2 linked regions of the Schizosaccharomyces pombe genome follow. The gene in region 1 interacts genetically with each later gene. Each region holds a gene or a part of one and is shown in the gene's direction. Other genes may lie near its edges.

Evidence for each region.
Region 2: mutations in arg3 (region 1) and pfd1 together harm fitness more than expected from each alone (negative genetic interaction), as found in Schizosaccharomyces pombe (one large-scale study listed by BioGRID).

What each region holds. Positions count from the first base shown.
Region 1 is NC_003424.3:2,269,710-2,277,528, forward strand, and holds arg3 (ornithine carbamoyltransferase Arg3), read left to right. Parts: upstream 1-4,211; 5' UTR 4,212-4,302; coding exon 4,303-5,286; 3' UTR 5,287-5,807; downstream 5,808-7,819. Other genes in the region: arg11 (N-acetyl-gamma-glutamyl-phosphate reductase/acetylglutamate kinase), read right to left, coding at 310-2,967; cmb1 (cytosine-mismatch-binding protein 1), read right to left, coding at 5,869-6,468; idn1 (gluconokinase), read left to right, coding at 7,490-7,819. UniProt on the Schizosaccharomyces pombe protein: Ornithine carbamoyltransferase involved in the synthesis of arginine from glutamate via ornithine and the urea cycle.
Region 2 is NC_003423.3:1,754,048-1,761,260, reverse strand, and holds pfd1 (prefoldin subunit 1), read left to right. Parts: upstream 1-4,002; 5' UTR 4,003-4,164; coding exon 4,165-4,173; exon of another isoform or gene 4,174-4,270; coding exon 4,271-4,437; exon of another isoform or gene 4,438-4,588; coding exon 4,589-4,751; 3' UTR 4,752-4,995; intron 4,996-5,038; exon of another isoform or gene 5,039-5,139; intron 5,140-5,218; 3' UTR 5,219-5,360; downstream 5,361-7,213. Other genes in the region: mRNA turnover and ribosome assembly protein Mrt4, read right to left, coding at 1-77, 413-529; actin cortical patch component End3, read left to right, coding at 882-1,029, 1,100-1,176, 1,401-2,303; protein Fis1, read right to left, coding at 2,859-2,959, 3,073-3,454; DNA-binding transcription repressor, glucose sensing, Scr1, read right to left, coding at 5,975-7,213.

The sequences.
Region 1 (7,819 bases):
ATTTACCACTTTATTCTACGTACAAAAATTATTTCGTTGATGAAAATCTATACCATAGAAAGCAACTTCAAATCTGTTTATATAAGTTTTGAAGAGTCTGCGACGCACAGACAGAGGAATTTTGTATAACTGAACAAGAACTAAATTAAAATGTGTGGAAACTTAAGATGGTACTCGTACGCGACTTACTGCTGGCTATTTAATAGCAAGGATTAATGCATTTAGTTCAAAATATTTGTAACAAAAAAATATCCAAATGGTACACAGAAAGAATAAAAATAACAAAAGAATGGGCTACAAAAAATATAATCAATCCAAATGGATACCGGCATATTCATCGTAACCACAGGACAGATTGAGATTCTGGAGAGCTTGAGTAGCAGCACCTTTAAGTAAATTGTCGATAGTAACTACAATGACTGCACGCTTTCCAGAAGAGTGCACACCAAAACCACCAACTGAAACATGATGCTTGTGTGCGTTGTCCTTGACCAAAGGTACATCTCCTTGAACATGAATTAAAGGCTCACCATTATAACGGTCTTGGTATAAGTTACGAAGCTCACGGGAAGTTATACTTTTCTTTAACGGAACATTAATAGTTAAAGTAATTCCTTGGAACCATTGAGCAACGTGAGGAATAAAGGCGACAGGTTGCTTTAAACGATAAGAAATTTCACGTTCATGGATGTGATCAGTTAATGAGTAAGGTATCAAATTGTTTGTCAATACATTCAAGTCATTCTTCGGAGAGGGCTTAGTGCCAGCCCCAGAATAACCAGATACACCAAAAATAGAGGGCTGGCCGTCAATCAAAGAGAGTATGGGAGTTAAACCGACTTGCGATCCAGTAGCGTAACAACCAGGATTGGAAATACGTTTCGAGTTACGCAAAGCTTCACGGTCATTTAGTTCAGGAAGACCGTACTGCCACGAGGGCTCAAAACGGTAGTCCGCACTTAAATCAACAATGACACTTTTACCATTTGCAGACGTTAAAGCATCGACATAAGGTTTGCATACACCGTTGGGTAGGGCCATGACCCAAGCATCAACCGCTCCCTCTTCCTCTAATTTTTTAACATCATCTGTGGACAAGTTGACATACTGAATTTCTTTCTTAGTGTAGCCAGGAAGTTTGGTGCCTTCCAACTCACGAGAAGAAACATGAGATAATTCGAGATAAGGATGAGTGTTAATCAATCCAATCAAGTTCTTTCCGGTATAACCACGGGCTCCAAGGAGAACGACTTTTGCTGGCTTCGATGAGACCGCCTTCAAAGGTTTTTGGGTCTTCTGAGCCTCAGCAGAAAAAAATCGTTTTCCACCCTTTAAAAACAAAGAACGATTCATTTTTTTGTTTTTTGAAAATAAAGAACTAGTTGAGTAACTTCGTTTTTGATTGATCTGTGAAGAGGAAGGGTTGTTGGTGGTAGATGAAGCAGTAGGGGGTTTAGTGGATTGGGTCTGAATGATAGCATCGGCAAATGGCTTGTCAGACTGAATGAACTTGGAGATTTTATTCAAATCTTTTACACCGTACCAAAAGTAGTAAAAATTATTAGCAAACAAAGTACCTTCGCTTTTAGAGAAGAACCATTCCAGATTCTTGGCTGAAGGTTGAAGACGCCATAGCAAAGAAGGGAAGTCTGCTTTTAATGTTGTTAATATGCTATCAACAACATTGTTTAACCAATTATTGTCGGCGGCACCAAAAGCTAAGAGTACTGGCAAGGATGAGTCGGTGGTGTCGACAATAGCAACAGATTCATTGAAAGAGTCACTATAAATACGAAGTTTTCTGTCTTTCAGAGTATCCTTGAACTGTTTCAAGCTTTCACTAGGTGCGGCTAAAGAATTTTTTTGAATGATCAAATTTTCTAGAGCAGCGTCTGGAATGCTATCCAACGAGTCATGTTTGTTGATGACAAAACCGCGACTAATCAAAGTACCAGCGCCAGATTCCGTAAAAAGCTCTTTTTGCAAATCCTTCGTACTAATAATGGCTACGGAAGATGTACGGGGAAGAGTATCAAGTAACTCTTTGATTTCTTTGATTTTGAGCTTCGTACCATACTTGACCCATGGTTGCTTCATGAGGCCATCGTACTCCCTATCCAAATAGATGCTGCTAATTTTTTTCTTTGTTTCACCGTTGATAAGTCCACCTTTTTCATTGAGATAGACCACCTTTAGAGGCTTCAATACGCGAGCAAGCTCACCAGCAGTAATGTCGGCGTTGACATTCAACAATTGACCAGAAGCAGTTTCGGCCATAGACGTAAGAATAGGGAGGGTTCCAGCACGAATACTGTGTTCAATAGGAGCTTTGTTTACCTTGACAATCTTGCCAACATACTTGTATTTTTCTTTGTCGAGATACTCTGCCTGAAATACACCACCTGTAATGGGACGAGCACGAGTTCCCAACTTTTCCAAAGCATCTACAAGTTTCGCATTTTCCTCTAAGAAAACTTTACGAGCTACAGAAAGAGTCTCGGCATCGGTGATTCGAATACCATCGCTATACTCGGGTTCAACATTTCTGCTGGCAAGAATTTTGTTTAATTGGGGACCAGCGCCATGCACAACGATGGGATAAAGACCCACATGATTCAAAAAGGCAAGACTTTGTGCCAATGTGTCTAATTCGTCGGTGATAATGGCACCACCAACCTTGATAATAGCGAAACGTTGAGCTTCGAAGGAAGTAAAGTATCGTAGGTATTGCTCAACTTCACGACGGCTTCCGATGGAGGAAAGAATTCTAATGATGGCATCACGATCTTGTTCAATTGGTTTCGCGAGTGGGTTTAACGGTTGTTGTTGACCCGGGGCAAAACTGCCTTGAAAACGTTTGCTTGCAATGACTGATGCATTGGAACATAGTAAGCTCCTTTTCGTACAGTGTTTCGCTCCATTCCGTACAAGACCGGACTTGACAATTTGTTGCAATTCAATAAGCATTGCCAAATTCTAGTGATATTCTATGATTTACTGTAGTTGGTAGAAGGCAGTTTGGTTGGTTTCAAAATTGGAAAATCATTTGCTTCGTAAACGTAGCTATAATTCGTTAAAATTTGATTGCTGTATCTAGGGATTTGCTCTGGAGATAATCACTCAAAAAGATGAGATCGATAATGTTACTTGTTGGCTGAAAATTACATCGGAAACCAACAGTTTACATGAAAGTGCTGCAAACGTGAGACATGGACATTTAATGAATTAAAGCTATATAAATGACACTGTAAAAGCAACTCATTTGCCGACAATGAATCTATTTGTATATACATTATTTAATACTAGTCCTAACTGACACAGTACAATATTCATTATTTCTATGCAAGCCAGTTCAATATCTTGATTTATACATGAAAGCATTCTTTTGAAACAATATTTTGTTTTCTATTTGATTTCGCGTTGAATAGTCCCAATGACCCTGATGAGACAAAAGCACTTATCATAAAATTTATTATCTAAGATAATCTCGTTAAAAAAAAAAAAAAAAAAAAAAAAAAAAAAAATTTGGCAAGAAGCCCTTCTCTTTCGTTAAAACTTGTTTCGCTTTATGCAATACTGTAAGTGTAAGCTTGTAATATAGCGAATCTGTGAACTCATTGTTCATTTCATGGTAGTTGTTGATTTCACAAGCATGCTGAGTTATCAATATAGTAACACAATTGGTTTTATTTCAGCTCGCTTGAATATAGTGTCAAGAGATAATTGAATAAACAAAAAAAATAACTACACGTTTTTTAGATACATTTTATTTACAATGTATTGGTTCTTTAAAGAATGGGTGGTAAATAAAAAAAATATTACAAGGTCGAAAAAAATTCATCCCTTTTCATTAGTTCTATAATTAAATGCTAAACCCATGAATATTCTTTTACTGCTAATCAATTAACGATTTTGGTATTTAAAAGCTATTGCTGATAAGTATTCTGACGTTCTGTATCAATATTACCATGAATAACATAAGAAAAAGAAAGGAAATAGAATGTTTATGAGTAGTTTTTAATTTTTGACTTGTTTTATCATATTTCATCAACGTACTAGCTTGTTTGCAACTGAACTCTAGTGTACGATAATGTAAAAATTTTCCATCTCGTCGAAAATCCGCATACGATATATTACGGCGCCAATCTCGCAGTCTGAGAGAGAACTAGATATCGGCTATATGCAATCTCACCCTGAATATCTAAGAAATTACCAGTAACTTGTGGGTTCCTTGTAGTCGACTACAAAAACCGTATTTTTGATATATTTAGTCGAGAAGAATTATTCAGTTTGCAATTGAAAATGTCTTTCAAAAAATTTCCTCGTCATTTACTATCCATTCGTGATCTTAGTCGCGGAGAGATTGTAAAGTTGATCGATCGGTCTTCTGAAATTAAACAAGCTTATAAGCAGAATTTTCAGAATCGCCGTTCTGTTCAAATGAGTGGTTTGTCGTCTCAGAATGTCGCCATGATCTTCAGTAAGCGTAGCACTCGTACTCGTGTATCAGTCGAAAGTGCTGTCAGTTGCCTTGGCGGCAATGCCATGTTTTTAGGTAAAGATGATATCCAATTAGGAGTGAATGAGTCTTTATACGATACTTCAAAAGTTATATCAAGTATGGTTTCTGGTATTGTTGCTCGCGTAAACAAATATTCAGATGTTGCTACGCTCGCTAAACATGCCTCTTGTCCTGTTATTAATGGTCTTTGTGACACGTTTCATCCTCTCCAGGCGTTAGCAGATTTACTCACTATTAAGGAAACTTTCAAAAGCTTTGACGGTTTAAAAGTTGCATGGGTAGGTGATGCCAATAACGTTTTACATGATTTGATGATTGCAAATGCCAAGGTTGGTATTCATACTAGCGTTGCTAAGCCCAAGGACGTCAACGTTCGCGACGATATTTTATCAATCGTTAACGAAGCTGCGAACGAAAACGGTTCTACTTTTGAAATTGTTAACGACCCCAAGGTTGCTGTTAAAAATGCTGATATCGTCGTTACCGACACTTGGATTTCTATGGGTCAAGAAGCTGAGAAGGAACAACGTCTTAAACAATTTACAGGATTCCAAGTCACCGGAGAGATCATGAAGCTTGCCAAACCTAGCTGCAAATTCATGCATTGTTTACCCCGTCATCCCGAGGAAGTGTCTGACGAGGTATTTTATGGAGAGAACAGTTTAGTTTTCCAAGAAGCAGAGAACCGCAAATGGACCACTGTTGCTGTCTTGGAGGCTTTGCTTGTCAACCGTGGTGAAATTCTTCCTCCTGCCTCAGCCTAAACTGAAATCCTTAATTTCATTTTTATCTGGGGAATGTGCAAACAATGCCAACTTTATAATTTTTTTTATTGGGCGTGCAAATTGTGATATTCATTTTTGAAATTTTATGTACTTTGTTTCACAAAAAGAAAATTGACTTTTGAGAAAATTTTTTAATTGACAATTACTTTTCAGATTTTTTATGCGCAGGACACAGGCTTCTAAAGACGTACTTATACGTTAAAAAAGGGGATGGATCAATTTGGCTCATTAGTCCAACAAGCTTTGTGTAAAATTATTACCCGCTTAATGCTATCCTCTTAACTAGATATTTCAAGGTATCAAGCAATCATAGTATTAAGCACTATTATATGCAAAATACAATTTAAAATTAATAGAAACTACAAATAAGCGCAACACTCATAAGGAAAAAGCTTTGGGACAATAAAGCTTTCGTCAATGCGGAATCTACGACAGAAAGAAAACTTAGTGTAGGCATCGAAATTTATTATATTTCAAGCATGTATGCTAGTAAAATAAAACGTAAACTCATTGATTCAAGAAATCTATAGAAAAAAAAGATCTGGGCAAGTAGAGTGTGCATCATCGAAATCCGGCTTCTTTCATAAACTTATCGTATTGCTCTTTAAGTGCTTTGCTTTTATCAATAAATGGCTTTTTCTTGTCTTCCGCCAATTCCTTCCACGCCTTTGATGCATTTTGGGTCTCTTCAACGAGTGTGGAAATGGCTTCTGGAATACCTAACTCTTGACGTAGCTTGGGATTGTTTCGAAGCTCCTTGTAAAAGAGGATAAAAGCAGAAGAAGGTTTTTTAGGAACATCTGGATGACGAAGTCTGTAATAGCGACTGCCCGTGCTGTGAGCCTCCTTCGAGCGACGACGATTTTCACTATCGATTTCTGTAGGTGTAAAGGATCGTAGAGTCTCCATAAAACGCTTTTTCTCAGCATCGAACTGCTCCTGGAGTTTGTTTTTATACTTTTGGATCTCATCGGCAGTCAAAGCTTTGTATTTTTGACGAATCATCTCAAAGCGCTCAGGACCATTACCAGCACCTTTTGTTTCAACCAACATTTGATTCCAAATGGTTTTCAGCCTAGGGGGGATCAACTTCTGTAATCCATTCTTTTCGGCAGAAACGAGAGTAGTGTGAAACTGGCGTATTCTAATTGCAAATACCATTTTGTGAAAAATGATCAAAGATAATGGTGCTTGGTAAGTTAGGTAAGGAGGCATTGCGTCAAACAGACGCATTCAAGTACTGAGTAAATATCGGGTACGTAATATTGTACAACAGACAAATGAGTAGTAAAAAGACGGTTTACTCAATTTTTAATAGCATAGAATAAAGGCGTTAAAAGCAGTTTGTTTGTTTCTTGTAACCACAAAGGTAGTTTCTTTTTCTAAGTGAAACACTTCGACATTCAACATAACAAAGCGTTGGTCCACAGAATCAAAAAGGTACTCCAAAATGAAAAGGAAACAAACGCATCTTCATCTCTTGAGCAACAAAACAGCACTCATTTCTATACTTTTTCCAACCTTCCTTATATACCGTACCTCCCAGCACTCTCATATTCATTACTCACCATAGACTATATTGTAGCTGTGTATTTAGTATAAAAATGTTTCAGTGGAATCGTTGCTATTCACTATTCATTACAGTGTATTCTTTCAGCACGTTATTTTAATTTAATAAACCGAAATAACATGCCCCGGTTCTTCTTTTGTCATATTGGCATCTTGGGTTACTGAAGAGATGGGGTATACGTTGCTTCAATCTCATTAGTTCTAGAGCCCCTCTATACCCCGATTTCTAAACGTCAATCCAACTTAGTTTTAAGGCTGTCGGCCTAATTTAAAGTTCCTTTCTACAGCTACAAAATTTGTATTAAAGGGACGAGAAGCCCCCGGGTATTTGTTTGTTTTTAATAACATCTAGTGTGTATTAACTTTTCTTGGCTGTGTTTAACCAAGTCGTAAGTGTCTGCATTTTTTCGGTATTTCTTGCCGCTTACCACAAACTATAGTACCTTTGAAAAGTTGGCTGTTTTCCAGTAAATTTGCATCGCTTTGTCCGAGAAAGGAGCCTTTTAGCGCCATTTTGACAAAGCTTGTTTAAAACATCTCGTTCGATTACCACCAACGTGTGATTTTGTGATTGTACCCAAACTTTGAAATCCTCACAAATAATTCGATAACTATGACTGTTACTCCCATTAATCCTACTAATCAGCCATACAAATATGTATTTGTAGTCATCGGCCCTGCCGGTTCAGGAAAAACGACGATGGCTAAGGCGGTATCTGAGAAATTGGGTTTTGAGTATATTGAGGGTGATGATCTACACCCCAAAGCAAACATTGAAAAAATGAGTCAAGGCCATCCTTTGAATGATAACGATCGTTGGGGTTGGTTGCATAACTGCGGAGGTGCTTGTGCCATGGAACTTGACAAGGAATCGATAAAGGGAGTTGTGTTAACCTGCTCGGCCTTAAAGCGTAGTTACCGTGATATCCTTCGTAGCTCTTTG
Region 2 (7,213 bases), on another chromosome or scaffold:
ATACGACTACCCTTCCAATCATCACGGATACGTTTTAAATATGTGTTTCTCATATTAGTGACATCAAAAATCCACATCTATTGAAAATAAACAGTTAGTAAAACAGCCATTTAAAATTTTATACGATCGAGTAGAAGGTGTAAACAGATGGGTATTTGTTAGCAGTGCTAATAAATAAGTAGATAATTGGAAAAAAAAGTATAACTTTAAAACCTCAACGAGAACTCATAATCTAAAAAGCTGTACTGTTGAATTTCAACTTCAAAGCATTTGGAAACACCTTCGTACAAAAATAGACAATTCAATCACTAAAAATAAGCATCTAAATCCATGATGCTCGTTTTTCTCATTTTGTAATCCTTCAGCACGATATTTCTGTTACAACTCCTCAACCGAGCCCATTTTCACTTACATAGTCAAACGAATCCAGCGATTGCTGTACTCCAGAGAAAAGAGCAGCCTTTCCTTCATGACCCTTTTTCTCAGTTTGAGCGAGAGTCAAAACTTTCGACCTCCTTGATTTTGGCATTTCTTCCTCTTTTCTCTGCAAAAATTGTTGTTGGCAGAGGTAACGATTTTACCATACTCTTTACAGGTATTCATTGAAAAATGCAGCGCGCTAGGCTTTGATATTTAAGGATAGAGTATTATTGTTGTGCTTAATTGCGTTTCGTAATTTTAACGGGGAAATGCCGCGCAACTTCCGAATCACATCCGGTAGTCTGTGAGCTTACCGTAAACAAGACACGTAGTATGAGCAAACATTGGAAAAAGGTAAAAGAAAGGTCAATATACTGAGTTCTTTTACTTTTCCACTGGCCGTACACGATTCAGGAGAATTAGATATTTTAGGGTATTAAAATTTACTAGAACTCGACATAATGGATCCCCAAGAGAAAAATAAGTATTGGGAAATTTTTCGCGGCTTGAATCCAGAAAATGGCTATTTATCAGGATCCAAAGCTGCTGGAGTCCTCCGTAGTAGTAAGCTTTCAAGCGATAAATTGGAAAAAATTTGGGATTTAGCAGGTACGGAAAACATGAGTTTGCGGTCTGAGTCGTTTAATCGAACGTGTGCTAATGTTACGAATATGGATAGATATTGATGATGATGGAATGTTTGATTTTGATGAATTTGCAATTGCTATGAAAATCACCTTTGATTTGATTAATGGGGTATGAAACCACTTACTTTACTCATGAATGAACCTGTGAAGCATGGATTAAATAAATGTAAAAAGATGGAATAAGATATGAATGATTTAAGAAGACGGCGCTTGCGTAAAGCCTTCATTTTTTCTTTTATCCCTTCCACTTGTTTGATTGTTTTTATTGTGAAAGGCTACCTTTGGTTTTTAGGGTTTCTTTTTTTGTCTATTTTCATCATTTCTAACCATTAGGTTTACAAAACCGTTCCAGATAGAGTACCCGAGGCGTTGGTGTCTACTTCCAAAAAGCATTTAGTAGCAGCTCGAGATGCTCTTCGTGGAAATGATGATATTGCTCTCTTACACAAAGTACCTTCGCTTGATACCGACCCGGAAGATGCCGTTTTAAAAGATGGATTTGATTGGTACATTTCTCCATCCGATAAAATTCGATATTCCGATATTTACTCCCTACATTGCAATAAACACGGAGAAGTATCTTTTAATGGCCTGGCACCTGTATTTACTCCTTTTGGGGTTCCCAACTCTCAAATTCAGAAGGCTTGGAAACTTGTCAATCCTCAGGGTACTGAAACCATACAGAAAGATCAGTGTTTAGTATTTTTGCACATCCTTACTCAGAGATCCAACGGATTCCGTATTCCTAATGATGTCCCGTACAGTTTAAAGGCTAGTTTTAAGAGAGGAAATATCGATTATAATTTAGATTCCTACAACTCTACTAATAACTATTACTCTTCACCTACAATGGCTCCATCTACGGGTGGTGCGAAGCCGAAGAGTGATCTTGATGCCCCGAGGGATGTGAGAGACTCTGACTGGGAGCTGATTTCATTAAGAAATGAGCTGTCCAAATTGGACGAAAAGATTCTTTCCCTTCAACGTGAAACTGACGATGTTAACATTGCACAAAATAAGTCAAAGCTTATTCAACGTGATTTACAGAAAGTACTTGACTATAAGTTGGGTATCCTTCAATCTCTAAAAAATGATGGACCAAATGGCCCCAGCGCTTCCGCCATTGATAATGACTTAAAAATGCTGGAACAACAACTTAATGTTTTGGGACGTCACTTGGAAGGTCGGAAGTCTCAAGTGGCTAAGCTAGAGGAAAGGCTTCGTAGTCTGTCTTAACAAAATCTCGTTTATAAAGCTCATCATCTCAAATACTTGAGTCTTTGGATGTTTTCTTGGAAAATCGACGAAGGTACACTCTTTCTTTCTTTCTTTATTGGGCTTAATAAACTGTTCAAACAGGAAGAGGGAATTGGATTGTAAAATCATTCATTAATGTCCATCATTATATTTTTTGGTTTAATCGATACAAAACTTTTGAATTAGTATAAAAGGAGGAACTTATTCAGCTTTTATAATAAATACTCACTCTCTTTTTATAACAATCTAAAACCTCCTTGAGGTAAATTTATTACCCTGCTGTTAAGAAGAAACACAAGCGAATTCAGAACTATCAACTGGGTAAGAAGAAAAGATAATATAATAAAAACAACAAGCTTCGATTTATAATCTTCTTTTTCTAAAAAAAGTGCACACTATAATGTCTCCCAAAGCCTTCGTAACTCATACGCGTTTCATGAAAAGGATACATCCACAATCCTATTGTTCGTAAGGAGAAAAAATTGAAGAATTTATGCAAAAGAAAGCTCCCTTGTGATTAATATCGTTTACGGTTTAAGGACGACGCTTTGAAAACAACCGTTTTGATGCCCAACCTACAAGAGCTGCAACTGACACCACTGCACCAGCTACCACAACCATTCCAATGTATCCTTCTAAAAACGGGTTAGTAATGATTCTTTTCATTATTTATAACGCATCTTTCTAACATAAACACAACATTCATGCATATGTGATACCTCATTAAGTTTTATTAAAATAAACATACCTTTTGTAACAGCATCGTAAAGACGGTTTTTTAGCTTTAAAGCCTCTGGGCTATTTGGATCTTTGGATAACAACATATTGAGATAACGACGGGATTCTTCATACTGCTTCAATTTGTAATGGGACAAAGCAATGTAGTAGAGGCATTCCAAACGCCTTTCCGGTGAATCTTTGTAAATGCTGCAGAACAAAGATAATCCCTGTTGTACATGCTGTGTAGAATCTGAGCGTACCAATGCCCAAGCAAGGTTAAATTTGGTTTGTAAAGTAATCAGAGGTTGTTCTGCATCGTATTGTTCCTTGATTTGTAGAAACTCATCAACAGAAATAATTGAATCAATAGCAGAAGGATCAGCGAGGCGAAGGGTGTGTTTTTCAGTCATGATGTCGTTATTGCTTCCTATATTGGTCTTTGAATGTGCCTTAATTATTTTAAAGGCGGATTAATATAAATAAACGGAAAATGTTGAAAAAACTACAGTCACTTGAAAAAAAATTCAACAACTCAAATATAAAAGAAGAAAAAAAGGGTTGAGTATGATGCAAAAATGCTAAATTATCAATGTAAACAGCCAATTCCAATTATAAAGGATTTGAGGCGCAAATGAGTGAACTACAAGGATAATGGATTTCCAAAGCAATAGAAAAGTCCAGAAATCCGATTTAGTAAGAATATGGATATGCTTTTTCCACAAAAATTTGAAACAGAGAAGGAATGAAATGAAGATTCGTTTGTGAACGCCATCGCCAACAATTTATGTAAGGAAGAACTTAAGGATATGGCAAAACATTTCACAAAATATTTATTACAAATTGTGGCGTATTATGTAATTCACATTTGCGAAACGTACCGATAATAAAAGCAGTGTAAAGTAGCTTGTAACATGCCAGCTTTGTACTTAAGGCCTAACCAACATTTTGCCTAAGACTTGATATACTTGTAAAGGTGGTATATTCAAATATATTGAAAAAGTTCTTGATTTGTCTATAAAAAAAGTATTAAAAGGACTATTCTTTGTACCATAATTTTGGAAAGAGCAATTCAATCCAAAAAAAATAAGTTCTTGAGATATACCCAAGTTTCCTTTAAATAATGCAAAATGTACGTATTTCATCATTGAGAAGAGAATTATTTTGTTAGGAATTTCCCTCTTTTTAACTGTGTTACATGGTAAACTAATGAGCTTTGGGCATATTAGTTAGCTAGTCAAATACAAGAGAAAGCGGTTGATTCACAGCAACAACTGAGGACCATAATGGTACAGATTGCTGCCAAGGAACGGGCACTAAAAATAAGTGAATTAGCCAAAAAAGAGTTAGAGGATGTTGGAGAAGATAAGGCCGTATATACTTCTCTTGGAAAGATGTAAGTGTCATAAAATGAAACATGTATTTTTATTTTCTTTTCTATAAAAATAGGGAAAGAATACGGAATTAGCAAAAACAGCACTTTTGGAATGGAATTGACCGTACTGTCAATCTATATGTAAAGTCATTTACTAACTGTTTATTTACAGGTTTATGAAATCCGATTTGGCTTCCGTACGTACACATTTGGACGCAGAAATGGCAAGTTTAAGAGAAGATATTGAAGCACTACAAAAGAAACAAACATATCACGAAACAACGGCCTCAAATGCTGAGCAGCATTTACAAAAGATAAAAGAGTCGATTTCTTAAAACATCAATTATAATCATCTCATTGGTAAATTGGATTATGGGATTGGAAAGTTTATGACTTTCTTTTTTATCTTTAAAACTGTAGAATTAAAGTAAATTTGTTCCATTAATCTTCTTGCATTTCTAACAAATACTGGGGCATTTGTGAGCCGAAATTTTGATCACTGTGACTGCGCTTTTGTGTATGGATACTTAAATTTCAAGCTTGAAGACTTGTGAATTTAGTATATGTTATACTTTTAAGGTAAGTTTTCTACTGTTAGAATTGACGTTTGGAAAAGTAAATGGAGAAAGGATTTCTTTGATGATTCCAAAAAAGCATAGTTCAACTGAGCATCGTATGCTGAAACTTTTTCCATCTGATTTGCACGTCAGTCTGAGATTTCTCGTTCCCTTTTGTTTCTTTCTTTTTCAACGTCTGTTTGTCTGACTTTTGTGTTGGCTGTTTTACTGACCCATACTTTAAGGTGTTCTATATTTTTTCAAGGATATCATTAACTGTGTGGAAGCTGTTTTGTTCTCCATTAACTTCTGATTTCTTTTTGAGAGATGCACAAGGAATAGTTTATAGCTTACTTATAGTTTATGAATAAAATTATCCGAAACGAACTGTCACTAATCATTGTTTAACAAAGTATGTAGTAATGTATTAATATTAACTATGGCGACAATATTAGGACTTGAAGGTCTCTCATATCAGATGTTTGTTTCTGAATTAAAATAATAATTCTATATACGAATTGTGAAGTTGCCGTTAAATTATGATGGTAATTTGCTGTAGTTCTAGTTAAAGTCATTAATGTAGATCCTGCAGTTCAACTTTTTGATAAGATCTGCAGACAACTTTATATACAATAAATTTAGCTAAATAAAAGCAAAAAGGATTAAACACCATCGGTAAAAAAAAATAACTTTATTAGTTTATGGTCTATTGTACCCATACACTGATCAAGAAGTAATTTAAACATATAACATAAATTTTCACCTATGAAAGCAGTCTAATAAACACAAAATAACATTACTAATTATATGCCAAGAAGTTTAAAAAAAATTTAAAACAAAAAAAAAAAGAAAAACTGAACAATGGAACCTCAAATGTCGAGACTCATGATACTAATAAAAAATTTAATACTTAATTTATAAAATAGCATAACACACAACCAAGGTGTTTAGATGGTTTAAAGGAAGCAAAGGTAACTAGCGTTCACAGCGCAAATATTGGGTTAGGGCTTGGTCATAGGAGTTAACGGCCCTATTGAAAATGCCGGTGTGGTGGTGGAATAGGAAGACGACGCCGACTTTGTGGATGAAGAAGGAGATGGCGGTGATCCGGCCAAAAGGTTGCTGACACTCACACGCGAAGAAGAGGAGAACTTGCGTGATCGTCGATTCGATGATATACGGACTGGACCAACATTCGACTGGGATGCAGGTTTGTGAGGCATGCTGCTATTAACGTTGGAGAGCGAGCTCAGAGAGACGGACGATGGAGTACGAGAGACAGCACCAGAGGCTGGTGTAGACGCGGAAAAGGCGTTAGGATCACACTTCAAAGGAGGAATTAACGGAACTTGAGAAGGTCGTAGAGAAAGCGAGCGGATAGAAGGTAATTGAACGCAAGATGGATCATCCATGGGTCTCAAACGAGGAGAATGTGCCGGTGTAACGAGAGGTGTGACGTCTGGGGTGGGACTAAAGCTCCTAGTGGAAAAGGTAGGACTACTCGGTGCAGTGCTGCAGGGGGAAACCGGGCGAGAGCGACGCTGGTATCGGAAATGGGCAAAATCACTTGACGAAGAATCATCATCAAAGCCATTGGATACGCTGGGTCGAGAATAAGGCAAATAGTTGTAATGGGCATAACGTAAAGACTGAGGAGCGTAAGCCGTAGTACCAACGCCATACATTGAATGAAGGCTAGTACTACTGTTAGATTTGCTAGGCAGATAGGGAGTCTGCATAGACGAATTACTATATAAAGAGTTGCTCGAGCCATTAGTATACTTTGTAAATGAACCAGTGGATGAGTTAGAAGTTAAGCCTCTATTGGGAACCGATGCGAGATGATTAGGAGAAGTATTGGATGATGATGGCAGACTACCTACTACATTCATCTGCTTCGGTGGGGAAGGAGCATTAGATAAAGGCATTAAATTAACACCCGAAGACTTTGTAGGAGTGATTCTAGGGGCAGCATCCAATTGATTAGCAGCCGCTGAAGCCAACAATTGCATCTCGTTCATGGACGACAATCTGGAATCGGGTTCCGAGCGTTGAGAAACAGCACCCGGAGGGGTACCCGTAACATGGATTGTAGTACCATTTTGAGTGGTATGAAGGGCATCGGGAATACCGTAGATAGTGGCAGGTTGAGCTTGAGCGGGTAGGTTGTGAGGCTGTCCATTACTAACGAAAGTAGCTTGTTGTTGTTGCACTGAAGCCGAGTAATGGTGAGGATAACT